Linked DNA regions of Xenopus tropicalis. The protein of the gene in region 1 purifies or fractionates together with the protein of each later gene. This does not show direct contact. Links are inferred from orthologs where the notes say so. Each region holds a gene or a part of one and is shown in the gene's direction. Other genes may lie near its edges.

Region 1 (4,410 bases):
CATAACAGGCAGATTTCCAGCAACAATTATATTCCCTGTATGCCCTACGCTATAGAATTAATTTTATTTTACTATTCTGTATTGAATAGTAAATAAATATAAACAATAAAGTCTAATGAACACCCCCAAGCTATTTTAGTATTAAAGTGTTGGAACCCCATTATCCTAGCCAACTCCCAGCACCCTTTGCCCTATGAAGGACTCTGGGAGTTAAAGTTGGTCAGAAAGCCCTGATATAGAGTTTTAGTAAGTTATATATATAGATTGTAAGCTCTACGGGGCAGGGATCTCCATCCTCTTGTGTCTTTGTACCTTAACTTATTGCAACTGTATTTATCTGTATTTATTTGTATTTATTGTTATACTTTGTATTTATCTATTATTACCTTAATAGCCCCCTGTTTGTATTAATGTATTCTACTGTACAGCGCTGCGTACATAAGTAGCCAGGGTCGAACCCGACCCTTGCGGTGCTCCCCCTGCCCGACCGCTTCTGCCCCAACGCGTTAAATTAACGCTCTCGGGGAAGGACATCGGGTTGGGGCCCTGCGAGGGGGGTTAGGGGGGCCCCTCGGGGGGGAGGCTATGGGCACGGGCCATATGGGCGGGCTATGGGCGTGGGCACTGGTGGGCCCTTCACCCCCCAGTCCGACCCTGTAAAAAGCGCTTTATAAATAAAGATATACATACATACGTACTGTTGCAGGCTTGGGGGGGTGCAATAAAGTTTCTTTACTTTTGCCTCTGCTTTTCTATGGGGCCCCACAAGGGACATATATTAAGCAAGTGTGGCCCCTGCGGACAGCTGTGGCCCTATAGGAAGGAAAACAGCCCAAGGAAAGGACACATACTGTACATATATATATAGATTGTAAGCTCTACGGGGCAGGGACCTCCATCCTCTTGTGTCTTTGACCCTTATCGCAACTGTATCTTTTATTTATTTATGTTCATTGTAATACTGTGTATTTATCTATTATTTTCTTAATAACCCCCTGTTTGTATTAATGTATTCTACTGTACAGCGCTGCGTACATAAGTAGCACATATACATACATACATACATACTTACAACCTGCAGAATGAGGAGAGCAGAAGCCGTACGACTTATCCACAAGAAGGACTGAAGTATAAAGCAAGTAAAGGGTAAGTAACCCTAATAAATCAGTATATGCAGCAGCAGCAGCAGGACATCATTAAAGGAACAGTGGCAGCAGCAGTAACAAAGGCACCCCGGCAGCAGGCTAAATATGGATCAGTTCTTCCATCCCTCCCCCTAAAGGTTATCAGCGACCAGCCAAACCTGCATCTAAAAATTCTCTTTTTAGAATGAAAGAAATCTAGGTGTCTCTCTGCTGCTCCCTAACGTCCGCCGGGGGTATTGCAACTGCTATTTTTATCGGAGCAGCACAGAAAGGAGGAGGAGGAGGAGACGTTGAAGTGAATGAATTACAGTGAGGAAGCTCCTCTCTCCCATTCATGCTGAGTTTCCCCAAAGCAAATGCAGCGCCGGACGGTGATGGGAAGCGCTGCCATATGGCACCCAGCCCCAGCAGGTAGCCCTGAGCCTTACCTTGAACTCCAGGAGCAGCAGGGCAGGCAGGGGGGGTTACCCTCCACCTAAGACGCTTGGGGAGGAGTTGCCACTGCAGTTGCTGAAGGAGACAAGTAGCCCCCACACTCAGTCTGTAGTCATTGCTCCCATGAGCCTCTCTGGGCCACCCTTGGCTCCCAACTCCCTGCAGGCTGGAGAATGTGCCACCCAGTGGGAGTTGGTGACTGCCCCAGGGACTTTGCTGATGGCCTCTCTGGGGAGAAGGAGATAAGAAGGGGTGAGTGTAGGAGAACCCTACCAGAATGACTTACTGAGCCCCATTCCATGGAGAGTTAACATGACTTTTACAGACCTGACCAATGACAGTGTGGGAAACCACACGGAACCCCACATTAGAGGGGATAATGACACTGAGGACCATGCCAACGGGACCTCCCTGAGTCTGGCCTTGGACCTGCCGGCTCTAAGTGTCGGGATCGTCCTGGCTGTCTTCATCCTCTTTGCCATAGTGGGCAACATCATGGTCATCTTGTCGGTGGCTTGCAACAGGCAGCTGCAGACAGTCACCAACTACTTTATCGTCAACCTGGCCATCGCCGACCTTCTGCTCAGCACCACGGTGCTGCCTTTCTCCGCCACCCTGGAGGTGCTGGGCTTCTGGGCGTTCGGAAGGGTCTTCTGCGACATTTGGGCAGCGGTGGATGTCCTCTGCTGCACTGCGTCCATCATGAGCCTCTGCGTCATTTCTATAGACAGGTATGTCGGGGTGAAGTACTCGCTGAAGTACCCCACCATCATGACCGAGAAGAAAGCTGTGGTCATCCTCATCCTGCTCTGGTTGTCTTCTATGGTCATCTCCATCGGACCTCTCCTGGGCTGGAAGGAGCCTCCACCTCCAGATGACAGCAAGTGTAGCATCACAGAGGAGCCGGGATACGCTCTCTTCTCTTCCCTCTTCTCCTTCTACCTGCCCCTCTTGGTCATCCTTGTCATGTACTTCAGAGTCTACATAGTGGCCAGGAGGACTACCAAGAGCCTGGAGGCTGGGGTGAAGAAGGAAAGGAACAAGTCCATGGAGGTGGTGCTCAGGATCCACTGTAGAAGTGTCCTAGAGGAGTCCAGCTCCAGTACCAGGAACCACAAGGGTCATACCTTCAGGAGCTCCCTGTCCGTCAGACTCCTCAAATTCTCCAGGGAGAAGAAGGCCGCCAAGACCTTGGCCATCGTGGTTGGGGTGTTCATCCTCTGCTGGCTCCCCTTCTTCCTTATCCTACCGCTGGGTAAGTCCCAAGTGCCTCCTTCATGTTAAACTTTGTCTCTTCCCCCCCGACCCTTCCCGACCCATTCCGACTCACTGGTGTTCATCCTCTGCTGGCTCCCCTTCTTCCTTATCCTACCGCTGGGTAAGTCCCAAGTGCCGACTTAATGTTTAACTTTGTCTCTTCCCCCTCCGACCCTTCCCGACCCATTCCGACTCACTGATAGCCTAATGCAGCGCGATTTCTGTTGGGAAAGTTCTCACCTTTAGCGATCGCGATGTGGTTTTTCTGGTCGTTTAGCAGAGTTACGACAGGCAGAAAACGACGACCCAAGGGCTCAGGGGTAAATACCCCCCTCCCTTACATTGTTGGAATTCTAAAAAACGTCTCAAGGGGGTTACAGGTTTAAAGGTATATGGCAGCACTTTGAACGTCAATAGTATTGCAGATTTTCAGCGTCACTAGGCAAAGTGTCCTTAGCAACAAGATATCATTTTCAAATTCCATGTTGGAACCCCCCCTATCAGTTAAAACGTTGATCAAATTACTTTAATACCAATTTTGGGGTCACCCAAATAAGAGAATGTCTGGGGTGCACTGGGGGTCCCCAAAAACACCTGTTTCTCATAGCTGAACTACATTAGTCTTGTAGATTGTAAGCTCTTTTGGGCAGGGCTCTCTTCCCCTCCTGTATCGGTTATTGATTGCTTTATATGTTACTCTGTATGCCCAATGTATGGAACCCACTTATTGTACAGCGCTGCGGGGTATGTTGGCGCTTTATAAATAAATAATAATAATAAGTCTACAAGTTATATCAGGATCTACCTCCGCTCATGTTTCTGGCAGGTATTTCCCTGATCGTTCAGTTTACTGCCCCTGGAAATATTTAGCACCATTCCATAGGGGCAGACTGGGGAGAGCGGGGCTGTTGCCAAGGTGTTGCCGGGGGCATGGGGGTGGCAGATACACAGTAAATTCCTGGGCTGGATCTGCCCCATCCCTTGGGAGAATTATCAAAGCCTGAGAGTCCCTAGTAGGGGTAATTGATTTGTTTGGGTTGGAGGGGTGGAAGGGAACACAAACAAGCCTGACTGGGGGCAGAATTGCAGAGAGGGCAGGACGCTGCTTGTCTTGTTTATTCAAAATAAAGGTCAACTGACCCAAACACTAACACTGCCCTTTCCTTGTGTAAACAGCAGAGATGCTCGGGATCAGCTGACGAAGTGCAGAGCGGCCGTTAGAATTCCCATTACACTCAGGGAGAGATTGGCTTAATTACACTGTACTTGGCAGGGCCCTACAGGGGGGTACAGGGGGGATTATGGGGGGGGGGGGGGGGTTACTAGGCACAACCAGGCAGCAAAGTGAGGATGGCCAGACTACATAATTGTAATAATAATAATATAAGTCTATATTGTAAGTGAATGAAAGAGTAGTGGATACACTGATCCTACTCCCAGACAATTGCCGGCACATTATATTATGTACGATTGCTCTGATCTAGACATGTCAGGTACAGTGTTCATGGGGCATCAGCCGTGTACAAACCAGATACTCACACTGTAACATGGGGTTAAACAGGCTTGGAGCTAG
Region 2 (4,323 bases), on another chromosome or scaffold:
ACAGCTAATGTGGCCCCCCAGGAACCTGAGAAAGATAGGTTCCACAAATCTCTAATAAGGCATAATAAAAATTTAATGAAAAAGTTGGACACATTGCATGTCGACTTGTGTGTGGCCACTAACACCTACAAATGCCAGTCAGGCACGCCAAGCTGCACACAAGGCTGCCATGTTAAGCCTCCAACAGGCGAGTCACGCACACCAATAATAAAAAATAATTTCCCGGTAAATAAAACCTTTTTTTTTTTTTGGAGAAGTTGTTTGTTATTTCTTGTTTAGGGGATTAAAGATTGTTGGTACTTACAGGAAAAGCAATTGGTAACAATTTGTCCCCGGACACATTTGGGATGCCACTTAACCCATAAAACTGCCTTTTCACAGCATTCCACTTGTTCCGATTTTTGGGGGACAAGATGAAATTCCAAGACACCGAGCGTATGGCGTCCAGGACCTGACCAAGGCACCGTGAAAAAGGTGGGCTGTGACACCCCCCGTAAACCCACCAACCCTCTGGAAACTGTCAGTGGCCAAAAAGTGCAGGGAGCACAGCAGTTTCACCATTCCGGGAACTGCATGGCTTCTGCGAGTCAGTGGCTGCAGGGAAGGCTCAAGCAGCTCATACAGGCTGGATATTGCCACCCTATTGAGCCTGTAGTGCCTGACCACTTCATCCTCGTTTAAGCCCTCCAAAGTTGTCCTTTCCCGACAAATCACTCTGGAAGGCTCGGGGACTTGATGTTCCTCCTCCAAATAGAGCAAAAACCCCATTGCAAACTCCATCTTGCCTTTTTCCAACAAAAAATTAAAAATGTGGTCTGCACAACGCCTCCCCCAATTAGGTGCTAAAATACGCACACACTTGCACGCTAATTAATGCATTTAACACTTCATGCGCTTTTGTGAATCATGCGTTTTCTTTTCATTCGCTAATTAACGTAATGCGTTAAAATTAACGCATTCGGTTGCACGTTATTTAACGCACACGATATGCGACTTAACGCATGCGATAATACTTTAGCGAATCGCACGTTTTTTTCGCGTTTATTTTAACACAAAAAAGCATGCAATAACGCATATCGCTCATCGCTCCTTAGTGAATCAACCCTAATGTGTTTTATTGACTTGTATGTTAATGAGGAAATATTAGGCATATTATAATGATTGGTTAGGCTAGGAGATAAAAGGAATAGCCTTAAGTTATCGTATTAATGTTTTTTGTTTTCTTTAAAGCTCATTATCAGAAACATCATTACATCAGTGTTGTGACGCAGCATCAGTACAGCACTATATTCCTCATCCATTTGAAAGACCTTCTGGTTAAAAACCTATAACACAGCAGACATTAGAGGGTGCCCTCTATAGCAGGCCAGACAGTATCCTCAGCACTAGGGATAATGTAGGCTTGTGGGGCAGAGCTGGCAACACTTTATAGACAAATAAAAACAGTAAATTGACTCCAGTTAAAACCTGCATATTATTGGATAATGAACATGCTTGTTTCTTATTGGTTCAGGAATTTGATTGACAGTGTTGTTTTACAGAATGGATATTTTATCAGTTTTGTGGAATCATGTATTCATTTTGTTGATAGAATGAGTTCTGTGCTATATAATCTTGCTTTCTGTCACACGCATCTATTTTGTCATGAAAATCTAGCTGGAATATGCTATTCAGTTACACCATTATATATTTTGTCGAAATTTTGTTTTACATTATTCATTCTGTAAGTAACTTTACACATTTTTTTGTATGGATGTTATGCATTTGTGAGACAGAATGCTTTTTAAAATTTACAGAATGAAGTTTGTAATATAATATCCTTTTGTGCATAAAATTGTTTTTGATCTCATTCTTCACTAGAAATATATATCTTTGGTATATTTTTACCAGTGTTTATATCCACACTTTAATTCTGTCTACTGGGGATTGCTTTTTGTATATAGAATGTATTTTTATAGACAAAATGTACTTAGACAAACGGCACCCCATAAGTTTCAACTCCTCAGCAAAGGTTTAAGATCTCATTTATAGTGTCAGTGTTGTAGCTATATTTGATGATCTATTAAATCATGAGTGTGAACGGGGTGGCTATTGCACTGGGATTTTCCTGTAATGCTACCCAGTTACTGAATAGATCCAGATTGGGTGGCATGGTGATTAGACCACTTACTTATTTATTAGTAATACTGTAGAGGTGTTAGATTAAGACTGTTATATTGAGTGTAATGTTCATCACCAAAGACTACGCTTGTGGCATTCTAATAAAGGTTGTATGCAGATCGCTTGAGGTAATAATCAAAGTCTGGGAATGTGATACTGTAAATCTGTCAACTGAGAGAGGTATTGTGTTTATAGAGGGAGAAATGAAGCTCTTACTAAAACCTTAACACTTATTTACCAAACAAGTAAGTATATGGAGGCTTTTGTTTTGGGTAGCCCAAATTATTGGAACAAGATATACATATTTACAGTATCACTTGTCCAGGCTTTGATTACTGCAAGTGATATGCACTTAAGAGAATAATATATAATAGTTTTTATTCCATTAAAATAGCCTTTGAAATGGTGGTTAGAATACATTAACATTGTATTGCTTTATTTTCCAGTGCAAAACAGGTAATGGATGTTTCCAAAGTTCTCCATCTTGGAGGGAAAACTGTCTTCAAAATATTACAAATGAAGACAGCATGGAGGGCAGAACTGTAGAAGCATTTGGAGTTAAATCATTGGAACACCATGTGGCTAATCTGACATTTCTAGAGAGCAAGTAGCCATTTCTATTTTAACAGAAGTGTAAATGAAAAGGATAGTGGAAGCAAAGCATCATTATACTGTAAAGGGCAAGAGCCAGACTAAGGATGTGAACATCAGCATTTTTTTTCCTTCTTCTTTTGTTATTGGTACCACAATCAGTCATTAAGAATTGTTTGTGTTCCGTTCAGCTCATTACTGCCGTTATATGGATATCATTATTTGTTAAAAATGTCTTAATGAAAACCTTAACCCAAAGATGCTGCTATTGTTTGTATAATTGTGATATGCAGAAACAAACTTTATGAAATTGCTGTTACACAAGTTGCTGTCACCATTTCCAATACTTACTGGTTGGTTTTTTCAAGTGTAATGTATCTGTTTACCTGTATCAGGACAATACGTCATGGTCTAAAAGCACTGGTTGCCCACTCCCTTACAGGCAAGTGCCACTTCTATATGCACAACACAGCACACTCCATTCACAACTTGTTCTGCTGCCACCTGTCATTCATTTTAGAGTTTGCTGCTGGAATCTTTACATTCATTGAAGCAGAGAACTATTTTTGGTTACATATAAAAAAGCTTGTGGATCCCTTGTGAGGTTTTTGCTGCGGGGAGATGAAGATGAGGATGATGATTAAATTGTCAATCTCTTGTGAAGCTCTTCCTACTTTCAGATATGCTGGTCTCAAGATTATTTTACTTTTCTTTGTAAGAGTTGAGATGCATGTAAAGAATCAAAACACTCAAATGTATCTTTTCCTCAGAATGTAAACCATATTTAAGTTTCATGAAAATGTAGTTTTTTACATTAACATTTACAATGTAAGATTCTATTTTTAAAATAAAATTCTAATGAATCTTTTGTGTGGTCAAGTTAGATTTCATTTAAATACTCAATACAAACAATGTGAATTTAGCATTTTCTTACTAACATTGCAGCATTATTTCTCAGAATTCATGTGTAATCCCACATGCCCACAAAATAGCATGCCATGCAATGTTTTCCCAAGATGATGCTTTGGTAAAATGCACACAAGTTACATCATTTGCTAGCATCGTCGAATACGATTTGTTATTTCCCTGTAAGCCAATAATGTATGTGGGTATAGGCGTGGGTCAGCTAGTCTCCTATATAGCAAGTTTTACTCCTTTAAACCTTTTTATCCCGCCTACTTCTGAAGATATCACTTCCTGTTTCATTATGTCCAAAAGGTAAAAATGTGGGGTGCGGGTTACAAAAATTGGAGCCAAGTTAATGGCTCAATTTTTTTAGGTGCATGTGTAGGTACAACACACAAAAGGAGGCCTATCAGTAATACCTTCTCAAGCTAGATGTTATTTTCACATCTTGGCTTAAAGAAATATATGAAAGGATTGCTGTAGCCACCATTCAGCCATAGTTATCCTATAAATGACCTTCAAGTTCAGTTTAAATAAGTACAGATATTCTTGCAAATCTTACACAGGCTGGGATTTGTGGGTAGGCCAGGATCTAGAGTGCATTATTTTAGGGGTAGCATACAACCCAACCACATATAAGGTATGGACTGCTGTCAAATCCTTTTA
Region 3 (3,713 bases), on another chromosome or scaffold:
AGAGAAAACTGACCTTTTTTTTTTTTACTTGGGAAAAGTTGACCTTTTGCAAATAAATTGCAATTAGCACAGCTATGTGATATTATTTATGATGATATTCCGTAGTATTTCTGTAACTATGGTGACACCTACTATATTGCTAGGTAACCCAGCGTGGTGAATCTGGAAATTAAAATAGAAAACAAATAATATGCAAAGAACATACATTCATACCATGCAGATGCTTGTTGCAGCATCCATTCATATGTAGTGTATAGGTAAAAGGACAGCATATTATTTTTATTGTGTAAAGCAGATTCTGGGAAGTAAACTACCACCCTTAAAGGGGTGGTTCACCTTTAGGTTAACTTTTAGTATGTTATAGAATGGCCCATGCTTAGCAACTTTTCCAATGGTCTTCATTTTTTGTAATAGTTTTTTAATTATTTGCCTTCCTCTTCTACAACATTCCCACTTTCAAATGGGGGTCACTGACTATTGTTCTTTGAAGCTACAATTTTATTTTTGTTGCTACTATTTATTACTTATCTTTCTATTTAGGCCCTCCTCTATTCATATTCCTCTTTCAAACCACTGCCTAGTTGCTAGGTCAAATTGGACACTAGCAATCAGATACTTTGTTTAATGCTTAAAAAACAGGGCATGTCACCAAAATCTTATTTTGGGTAGGTATAATTAGCCCCTATGTCTTTTAGAAAATTCCTGTCGATAAGGAACCAAACTCAGCATGGAGTTATAGGCCTGTTAGCCAAGTATATCCATATACCTACTGAGACAGGCTGATCTGCCATCTTACTGTGCCTGGTTGTATCTCTAAAAGAAGCCTTGGTCTGGATTATTTTTTATATATAATATAAATATATTAATAAATGCCAAAAAAAAAATAAAATATATATATATATATATATATATATGTAATATATATATATATATATATATATATATGTATATATTTTATATTATGTATGTATGTGTGTGTATGTGTATATATATATGTATAACATTATATGTATGTATAATATTTATGTGGTTTATTTTCTATATCTCTACTTACTAAGTTTTATAATGAAGGGTAGTTGAAGCATAGCAGAGCGGAAGACAATATTTCATGTTTGCTAAGTGCAGACTGGAAAATCATTGCAAATAAAATACATTGAGCTGGGAAGGTTAATATCAAGCCATTTTTGCTATACCAGAAGCTTGGGAGAAAATGTGTTGTTTTCTGTAGCTGTGGGCACAGTGCATCTGCTGATACCTGTAGGAATTAGAATGGATTTCAAGGTGATTGCTTCTTTATTTGTGTTTTGTTTTACATTACATTTCAGCCTGAATCAGAGTCCAGGGTTAATGGAGTCTCTATATCTGTCTCGCCACAGCCGCCTGCCCCCAGATATTCAGCTGATCATGATTATAGCTCTCAGTTTCAACAGACAGGTAAGTAGCTTGTGTCCAATAAACAGTGATTTAGCTCAAAAGCACCCCAGTTAACAGCAAAGGAATAAGAAAATACAGGGGCATTAAAATAATGCTTCATTAAAGGGACACTAAACACTGATACACTGCTGTTCTCACACTTTACTCAGTTGTTGGTTAACTACAAATCCCAGCATATTATCAAGGCTACGGTCTGCTGAGAGGTGTACTCCAGCAATATCAGAGCTGTATTCTTATAATGCTGTTGCTTAATAAATATTGCAAAATAATCCTCCATTGTGAATCCCAAGTGATCAGTTTAAATATGGCATTCTTTGTTCCTGCAAGTGGAGTTGGAAGAATTCAGCATTTTTTTCTAGCATTGTCTGATTCCAGTGTAATGTAATGAAGCCAAAAATGTCCCAATTATCTCCATATGTAAGATAACAGCAAGATGACTGACAAAACGTATATAATCGGTTTTCATTGGTGAATTCTCTTTCATGCAGTTTTTTGTTAAATTTGTAAAATTCTTTTTGATAATTTGTTTTTCATCTATAATTATATTTTTTGTCAACTTCTACGGAGAACTGGGGGGCACAAAGGGACAGCTATATTTATATCAGATAATTAGACACACGTGCACCATGTTTTTGTCTTTTTTTGTTGTTTTTGTCCCTTTTTGTCCAAGGGAAACTTGCCAAACAACCTGCCCAAATGCGAGTTAGTACAAGAAAGGCAAAAAAAACCACCTGAAACCTCTCCTATTTGCTTGGGGTTGGGGGACCTGGGTCAGCTTTGAATGGATCCATTTCAGTAACCTTGTATTTTTTTTGTGCCAAAGCCTAACAAACCTGTACCCTAGCTGCTGAAGTGAACTGCAGCTCCCTGTAGTTTTTTTCTAGACCTTGTTCAATCCAAGGTTGTGTATCACTGATCTATTCTAGTTATTTTGTGTTTGTTTCACTTATTAATGTTGCTTTGCATGTGCCCCACAGTTGATGTATTGCACCCTCCGCACAGCGCCGCCACAGACCTAACAGATGTGATGGAACAATTCAACAGCACATTTCCCCTGAGCAGCTGTAAGTAAATCCCACTTTATACATTTGCTTCAACAGGTATGTTGGGAGATATATTTCAACACTAGTTCTTATGGACAGCAATTTGACATCCTCTTTATATTAGTGAGACTTTAATAGCATGTTATGCCCTTTTTTGTGTGTTTTCCACTTGTTTTTATAATGTTGAAAGTATTTCTATTTATTTAAAGCATTGCAACATTGGAGCATGTTTAGACCCACTCTAGGACTGTGGTTCCCAAATTGTAGTAGCAGTTAGGGAGATATTTGGAGAAAATGGCTGTTTTCTTTGCTAGATATAGCTGAAAACTCAGCTTAATGGTCAGTGAAAATTTGCTTGATGTTTTAGATTTTCTTGGAACTGTGGCTGAATGAATGGTAAACCAAAGTTTTTAAATATCTGTGATCTTATTATGAGCTAAATGGTGGGCCTTGAACTAAAAAAAAAAGGTCTGGCAACCATAGCCGTAGGCGAAGGTAGAGAATGTGTAATGATTAAAGGTTGATCGCTTAAACGATTAATGTGCAGTTGGGGTAATTACAGTATATTGTTATTGTTAATAAATCAGTTATATATGTCATTAGAAGGATAAACACAAGAGTCCTTATAAAGGGTGCTTAGTGATGTCATCAGCTCTTATTGGTGCTAAGCGATGTAATTCCTGTCACAGACTCATTGAAACGTGTGTATTATTATAAATAATGTTCTCCCTGTTGAAAAATAAGAGAATATTATAAGTTGCCTCGGCCTTCAGCCTCATGCTTTATAAAATCGTGGAACTCCTCAGTGACTTATTATATCCCTATATTTTACAATAGGGTTTTTTTATTCACTTTATATTTACTTTTTAATAACTTGTTACTTGTAACTTGTTTTCAGCTACAATAAAATGTTCTATTTGCCTTTTACTGCTATACCTACAGTTGGTGTGTTTCATACTTAACGCACCTTATAATTCCTTATTTTTTTCCTGTGCTCATTTTGTTCCTTCTTACTCTCGGAAAGTACTTACAAATCAGAATTATTAGCCAGCGGTGAGGCCCTGCCAAAATGCTATCGAAGGCTGCAAATGTCGCTCCCTTCAGCAATGCAAATCCCTATTTTCACCCTCGCACCTTGCCAGCTTTGTCTTACCAGATAACAGGCAGCACAGCAATATTGAAAGGAAGTGTTAAGATTAATTTTAAATAAGCCATGCACGCAGTTGACAGCTGTGA
Region 4 (3,713 bases), on another chromosome or scaffold:
TTGTGCCTCTGGGTACTGGGAATGCCAGGGGGGCTGTAAGGTGCCATAGACACTCACTATTTATTGGGCTGGGGGGCTGTTTGGGTCTCTTTGTACTTGGAATGCCAGGACCCAGGCCCAGACTGGCAATCTCTGGGTTCTGGCCAATGCCAGAGGGGCTACTGTAAGATGCCATAGGCAGTCACTATTTATTGGGCTGGGGGGGCTGTTTGGGCCTCTGTGTGCTTGGAATGCCAGGGTCTGTTTTGAAGCCTAGTGCTGACCTTCCAGTGGCAGATTTGCATAAGAGCAATCCGGGTAGTTGCCTGGACCCTTAATTCCAAGGGAAGGAATGAAGTAGATCTGGGGTGGATTGGGGGTTGGTGATTGGGCAGATAATGGGTGGCATCAGGGTACAGCCAAAGACTAAAGAAATAATTAATTTGCCCCTGCCCCAAACATGACTTCCCGCCACACACTGCCGCCTGCTCTTCCAGTAGTTATGCCACTGTCAACATGTGGATCATTCTTCTACAAACTAGTGTGAATTCACAAACAAATCATTAGGGTTGAGGAGACTGCCTCATACACATACAAATAAACAGAATTCTGGGAATGAATTCCAAACAAGCTCTTAGAAAATCCCATTTACATGGGTTTATCTATAGACTAAAGCTCACCCACTGGGTTTTTAAAGGAGAAGGAAAGGTAACAACTAAGTAAGCTTTATCAGAAAGGTCTATGTAAATACAGCCATAAGCATTCACAGAAACGCTGCACTGAGTCCTCTGTCAAAAGATTTGTTATCTTTGTTTTCCTGTGCCAGAAACACGCAGCTCTCTCCCCTCTCCTGCTCCCTCTCCCTCAAGAATGCTAAGAACTCCCTCCCCCCCTTAGGAATGTGGATCTGAGCCAATCAGCAGGAAGCTTCCTCATAGTGTTACTAACGGAGCATGTACAGGGGTCTTGGTCTTGGTGCAGGAGCAAGGATCCGATGTGGGGGAGGATTACTCATTTTTTCTATTTGTATTTGCAGAAATCTGGAGTTGCATTCACCTGACGCAAAGCACACGGTTGTCCTCCGAAGTTCTGACCCAGTCACCGCGCAGGCCTGGTTTAATGCTATACACTCAGCTGCCTCCGATCTGGTCAGCAGGGTGATAACGGAAGTTAAAGAACAATTAGGGAAAACCGGGATCTCGGGAAGCACGGATATTGGACATTTGGGCTGGCTGGCGGAAAAGGCAAGTAACAGCACTCAGTGCCTAACTGTGCATTTATGTTATAGAGCTGTGGCCAGTGTTAAAGAGACAGAATCTACGTCACTGTCAAGTTACGCTGACAAATTACGTTTTTCAGAAGGAAACAGATCTGATGTTTCTCTGCTCTGGAAAGAGATCATGAACCTAATCCAATTTCTTTCCTGAGCAGAGCAACATCAGAAGAGTTCTCTGTTTACCTTCTGAAATATCCCTCTGACTGCACAGATGGAAAAACTAACCAATGAGTGGTGCTTTAGTTACAAGGTTCATAAGACAAGCAGTTAATTAAAACTTAAAGTGCTTAGAAAAGCACCCTGAGCTTTTTGCTTTTAGTAGGTTTACTTATCAGTAGTGATAGACCCTGGGATACTGCAATGGGCACAACTGTGCCAGGCCAAAAGGTACTTGCACCCAAGGCAAGGCTCTTGCCCTGGTTCCCACTCTCCCCCTCCCTACCACCTACCCACCTGCCGCAGCAACTTCTCTTCCAGCAGTTGGAGCCCCCTTCCCACTGCTGCCCCTGCTGCGGGCTACTTCCACTCACTTTACAGAAATTAATGTATGACGCATTAGTAGCAGACGGGAGCAGCTGTATCGTTATTTTTCTTCAAATTGTGCCTCCCTATCTGCAGCACACGAGGCAGCTGCCTACTCTGCATACCCCAAGCTCTGGCCCTGGGGTATAAATGATACCCCTATAAAATAATCTGTTAATCACAAGAGCAGCAAGTCTTTAGGCCAGTACCACTGGCATTATAAATTAAGGGGGGTCACTTTATCCACTTAATGTATCCCAATAAAGGTTATCTCTTATCAGCTTAGGAGTATATATTGGGCTAAAATGCACATTTATCAAATCATACAGTAGTCCTATCAACCTGGCCAGTAGATATCTGGCTAATTTTCAGACAGATATTGGTTGCAAGTGCCCTTTACATGGGCTAATAAGCTGACAACTCAGTCTGGAGGGGGCAATTTATCAGCATTTATTGGGCCATGTATGGGCAACTTTACTGTGAGGCTGTTTTTATTGCTTTTATTTTGCAATACTTACCTTTCCATTCTGGATCTTTATGAGTGTGAGTGACGTCTCCAGTGCTAAGGATTCCCCTCACCCCCGCCCCGCTCAGCCACTGGATTTACAAGGCACATCTTTGGCGGTGGTTGTTTTTTTTTTTTTAATTATGGTGCATTTTTCTCCTAACAGGAGTGGTCTATTTCATTGGGGGGGGGGTTGCCCAATATTTTGGCACCCCCCCCCCCAGTGAAATAGACTTTACCCCCGCATATGTAAAAAAAAGGCACTAAGATTACCCAGTAGCAGTAACCTATAGCAACCAATACGATGTATGCTTTTAAACAAGTGACTAGCAAATTCTGCTGATTGGTTGCTATGGGTTACTACACCTGGGCAAACTTTTATTATATTATATTATTATTTATTATTAGTGGTGCTTGCGAACCAAAGCATCACTACTATTATCTCACAGGCTTATTCTTCTTCTTCTTCTTCCGTACAAAGTTCGGTACGTAACTAGTCCCGCACCGTTTGTCGTAGACCCATGAGTGAGGTGTCAAATCATGCGGCTTATTCGGGAATGGGGTGCTATGACTTTTTGAAGAGATTTGCAACCTGTGTCAGAAGATACCCCGCACAAGGGTATAAGTTTTACCCCCGGGGCAAGAGAGGTCCCCAGATTTGCCCCATTGACTTATAATGGGGATTTTGGCAAATAACTAGTTTGTCGTAGACCCATGAATGAGGTTTCAAACTGTGTGGCTTATTCGGGAATGGGGTGCTATGACTTTTCTGAGGGGTGGGCGGTTAATTGCCTCAGCAGGGGGCAATTATCCGCCCATAGACTTAACATTGAGACCAACTTTGACTGAGTCCCGCACCGTTTGTCGTAGACCCATGAATGAGGTGTCAAACCATGCGGCTTATTCGGGAATGGGGTGCTATAACTTTTCTGAGGGGTGGGCGGTTAATTGCCCCAGCAGGGGGCAATTACCCGCCCATAGACTTAACATTGAGAGCAACTTTGACTCCCGCACCATTTGTCGTAGACGCATGAATGAGTTGTCAAACCGTGCGGTTTATTCGGGAATGGGGTGCTATGACTTTTGTGAGGGGTGGGATGTTAATTGCCCCAGCAGGGGGCAATTAACCACCGTTTGTCATAGACAAATGAATGAGGTGTCAAACCGTGCGGCTTATTCGGGAATGGGGTGCAATGACTTTTCTATGGGGGTGGGAGGATAATTGCCCAAGCAGGGGGCAATTAACAAAACTGAAGGAAACATTGTAATATTGGGGCACGAGTTTTGCCACGGCAAGCACCACTCACATTTTCTTCAGGAAATGTACCTTTCTAGTATTATATTTATTATATTCTGCATTAGAAAAAAAAATTACATTTTAAAAAATAGTGTAAATGTTAAACCATCCCCTAAATATTCTATTTAAGGTTT
Region 5 (3,713 bases), on another chromosome or scaffold:
TCTGTTGGTGTTAAGGGAGAGAAGACCATTTGTCCTGATTTCCCAGGGTTCCTGGGGTCCAGACTGTAGATAAACGTACCAGGAACGCTTGTTGGTCGGCTGCCAGCCCAGTCCCCAATCCCCTGTGTAAATACCTTGAGTGATCCAGTCAAGATAAATTTTTCTCCTTGTGTGGCAAACTGGAGAGGTATCACATGATGCTTTTTCACTTAACTCTGGATCAGTTAGGCTGGTTTAATTTACACCAAAACGTGAAATGGATGCATGTCTTGAAACTGAAACTTGTATTTTTTAAAATCGTTTAAAAAAGTTGTTGTCATCAAGCTGCAACTCTAACAATCCATCAGGTTTGGGTGTTAGAAGGGGGTGCTTGGGAGATATAGTTTAACAGCATTCTTCTCCACTCGGATCATTTTCCCTAGTTTTACATTGCCCCTTTTCATCTAACTCTGACCCATAACGTAAGCTAATCTGATATAAGAGCAAAACATTGACAGTCTAAATATTACAGTTTTTTTTAACTATCTTTGCTTATATTAACTGATATTCACATATATTTTCTCTTCTTCTCCAGGTGCAAGGAGAAATTTACGTAATGATTTACTTGTAGCAGCTGATTCCATTACCAATACTATGTCTTCTCTGGTTAAAGAGCTGAAGTCAGGTGAGTGTCTAGCGCTAAACACAGTGAGGTCAGTATACACCCATATACAGCACTGCTCAACATGACCACAGTGAATAGAACTTGTGTTGAAAATGTGTTCTTTTGTTTTTTCCTGAACAACCTCTCCCCGCATTTCCGCCTCGCAATAGGTTAATTAAAAAGCGATATTAAGCTCTGCATAAACAAACCCATCCTTTACCCAAACTGATGCGAGGAGCAGCTCATTAACCAATTGGCTTATCTTTGGATTGGTAGCTGGTAGCCAGGAAGCTGGAAAGTGAAAGTTGGCTTCAAATTCAATCTTTGACATGTTTTGTGAAAGAAATATAAAAACCAAAGATATTTCTGTAATTAATATGAAATAGTGTGTTCAGCCGTCTTATTCATTGAGTTTATACTCAAAAAGATGATAGACTGACCCTTTAAGTGATGTTCTTCAAAGAAGGCTTCTATGAATAAGGTCACTTTGAAGGAGGCTTCAAAGAATTCACAGTAACAATAAAAAACAATAAAAAACACTGGCACTTCTGGCAAGTAACATGTCATGTAAACACAAGCTATTTCAGTTATTTACAGTTACAGTTATATCTAGATACTCTGAACTATCTGTCTGAACCACAGTTACCTGGTGATTAGCTCTGCAAAGTTTGGGGACCTTAGTATTAATATATAAAGAATGGCAGCAGTTTAAATTTAAACATATGAAGTCTATAGGTGAAATCTGATTGGCTGTTGGCCCCGCCCACTTTTCTAAACTTGGAACATAGTCACCCAGTGACAAACTGGGCAAAGTTTTGGGACCCTGACATTAAACACGTGAGAATGGCAGCAGTTAAAATTATCCCATTGAAAACAATGAAAGAAATGTGATTGGCTTTTGGCAGCCCCACCCACTTTTTCTAACATTGAGTATGTAGTCACCCAGTGACTGACTGTGCAAAGTTTGGGGATCCTGGCATCAAACCAGTAGACTTAAATAGGTGAAATCTGATTGGTTGTTGGTGGCTCCGCCCACTTTTCCATACTAAACCTTCGGTCCCCTAGTGACCAACTGTGAAAAGTTTGGGGACCCTGGTGTTAATTCTGTCAGAATGGCAGCAGGTTGAATATCCCCATTGAAAGTCAATAGGTAAAATCTGATTTGCTATTGGTGGCTCCGCCCGCTTTTTCTAACCTTGAACCACAGTTACCTGGTGCCTAACCCTGCAAAGTTTGGGGACCCTGGTGTTATTACTGTGAGAATGGCAGCACCCCTAAAACTGTAGGAGGAGTGGCGTTTAGAAAATGGGGGGCGCTAAGAATAAGAAGAAGAAAAAGAGGAAGAATCAGCTGAAGTTGGGGGTTTTCAGCCCAACATAATGATTCAGTTGGAATAAGCTTGCAGTTCTATTTTGTAATATAGCATGTGAAGGGAGCAGGTAGAGGCTTTTATAGACTGAATCATTTGATGAGCTTTCTGCTTCAGAGATATGGATACCCTTAACGTTTTAGTGATCAAAGTTGTGTCACTTGCAGACTCCCCAGGACACATACTGTAAATTAAACCAAATTCAAATTATTTTATGATTAGCAAAATAACTGAGAAGAGCATTCATGGTAAATATTGGCCTATTCAGGTAAAACAAATAGGTATATATTATAGCAGCCTTACTATAGCTACAATATGGGCTGTACATTAGCATGAACAAATTCTGACATTATTAAAGCCTTAACTTGCACTTCTGATTCATCCTGAATGAGGCTTGACATTTAGCATTTCCTTCTGCTTTACTGATTGCTGTTTGTACGTCACATACGGATAAATTAAGAACTTATCCTGCCAGGTGGGTGTTAACACAAGCTATTCAGCATCTAATGCTCTGTATGTGGGTGTTATTTTATCCAGAGAGCACTGAGTCGTTTATTAATACTAGTTATTTGCAAATACCTATGTTTACATTTGTCCAATAAGTCACAAGAAACTTTTGCACTTTATAAAGTGCAAAAGTCTCCTTTGGCATCACCTGTAAGTGTGGATCAGTGAATTTTCTGTATGTGGTTTGAGAGGGAAGGTAAACACCAGATAAACACCAGATATTTCTTTTGTAGATGTTGGAAATGAAACAGAGTGTGGTGTGGATACCGAATATGGCCGTGTTCATTTTGATGATTTGGTTCCTTCCCCAACCTCAGAGAAGGCATTCCTTGCCCAGATCCATGCACGAAAACCAGGGTTTAATCATCATTCTGCTGCTACTGGCAACATTCGCACTGACTTGTATGTATTTGTTTCAATGCATTACAACAATGACATGTTTCTTGCTAACAATACAGAGCCTTGGGCTTTCCTTTATGAAGACTGTAGAACATTCATAAGGGCAAAATTTGGAACTTTCCACAACCTAAAAAAAATGTTTTTATTAGAACTGCACTTGTGTCCTATGAGCTGCTGATGGTAAGAATACTGACCAGGAGTTCTCCACTAATTATCTACATCTAAAGACACCAGAGTTCCAACATCTCTAACCAAGAAAAATGCCTTGTTCCATGACAGGACCAAAATTCAATACTTGGTTTAATACTTGGACCTAAATGCAATACTTGGTTCAGTACATCTGGATTCCTATACACATGTATTCCATAAAAGGCAACGTTTGCCCAGTAGCAGTAATCCATGGCAACCAATAAGATGTTTGCTTTTAAATAGGTGACCAGAAAATTGTACTTGCTTATTGGTTACTATAGGTTACTGCCCCAGGGCAAACCTTTATTACAAAACCTCTTTTAGCTCTAAAAGTAGCCAAATGACAAGAGCAAATTCCCTTCTGTTTAAACTCAGTGAATACTGGGTGTCCTTTATATAAGCCCAGTTGTACTGCTTTATGTTCCAAAATCCCCATTTCAGAACAAGACTATTGTACCAACTGTGTGCCTATACACCATACATATGTAATTATGGAATCTATTATACCAATGTTTCTTAATCTTGGGGTTGTGACCAAAAATTGGTGTCTGTTCTGTCTATAGTGGGCCTTCGTTATACTTGTGATGAAGTATAATTTTTCCTACA

The links.
Region 2: the proteins of adra1d (region 1) and ctnnal1 purify together in Homo sapiens (tandem affinity purification; 3 studies listed by IntAct, with this or other methods). This does not show direct contact. The link is inferred for Xenopus tropicalis from reciprocal best matches to the Homo sapiens genes ADRA1D and CTNNAL1.
Region 3: the proteins of adra1d (region 1) and utrn purify together in Homo sapiens (tandem affinity purification; 4 studies listed by BioGRID and IntAct, with this or other methods). This does not show direct contact. The link is inferred for Xenopus tropicalis from reciprocal best matches to the Homo sapiens genes ADRA1D and UTRN.
Region 4: the proteins of adra1d (region 1) and sntb1 purify together in Homo sapiens (tandem affinity purification; 4 studies listed by BioGRID and IntAct, with this or other methods). This does not show direct contact. The link is inferred for Xenopus tropicalis from reciprocal best matches to the Homo sapiens genes ADRA1D and SNTB1.
Region 5: the proteins of adra1d (region 1) and dtna purify together in Homo sapiens (tandem affinity purification; 4 studies listed by BioGRID and IntAct, with this or other methods). This does not show direct contact. The link is inferred for Xenopus tropicalis from reciprocal best matches to the Homo sapiens genes ADRA1D and DTNA.

What each region holds. Positions count from the first base shown.
Region 1 is NC_030677.2:11,904,416-11,908,825, forward strand, and holds the start of adra1d (alpha-1D adrenergic receptor), read left to right. Parts: upstream 1-1,447; 5' UTR 1,448-1,892; coding exon 1,893-2,835; intron 2,836-2,849; exon of another isoform or gene 2,850-2,958; intron 2,959-4,410. UniProt on the Homo sapiens protein: This alpha-adrenergic receptor mediates its effect through the influx of extracellular calcium.
Region 2 is NC_030682.2:76,846,528-76,850,850, reverse strand, and holds the end of ctnnal1 (alpha-catulin), read left to right. Parts: intron 1-2,606; coding exon 2,607-2,771; 3' UTR 2,772-3,619; downstream 3,620-4,323. UniProt on the Homo sapiens protein: May modulate the Rho pathway signaling by providing a scaffold for the Lbc Rho guanine nucleotide exchange factor (ARHGEF1).
Region 3 is NC_030681.2:45,719,888-45,723,600, forward strand, and holds part of utrn (utrophin), read left to right. Parts: intron 1-1,325; coding exon 1,326-1,434; intron 1,435-2,411; coding exon 2,412-2,498; intron 2,499-3,713.
Region 4 is NC_030682.2:138,634,402-138,638,114, reverse strand, and holds part of sntb1 (beta-1-syntrophin), read left to right. Parts: intron 1-1,015; coding exon 1,016-1,223; intron 1,224-3,713. UniProt on the Homo sapiens protein: Adapter protein that binds to and probably organizes the subcellular localization of a variety of membrane proteins. May link various receptors to the actin cytoskeleton and the dystrophin glycoprotein complex.
Region 5 is NC_030682.2:112,830,163-112,833,875, forward strand, and holds part of dtna (dystrobrevin alpha), read left to right. Parts: intron 1-574; coding exon 575-664; intron 665-2,752; coding exon 2,753-2,921; intron 2,922-3,713. UniProt on the Homo sapiens protein: May be involved in the formation and stability of synapses as well as being involved in the clustering of nicotinic acetylcholine receptors.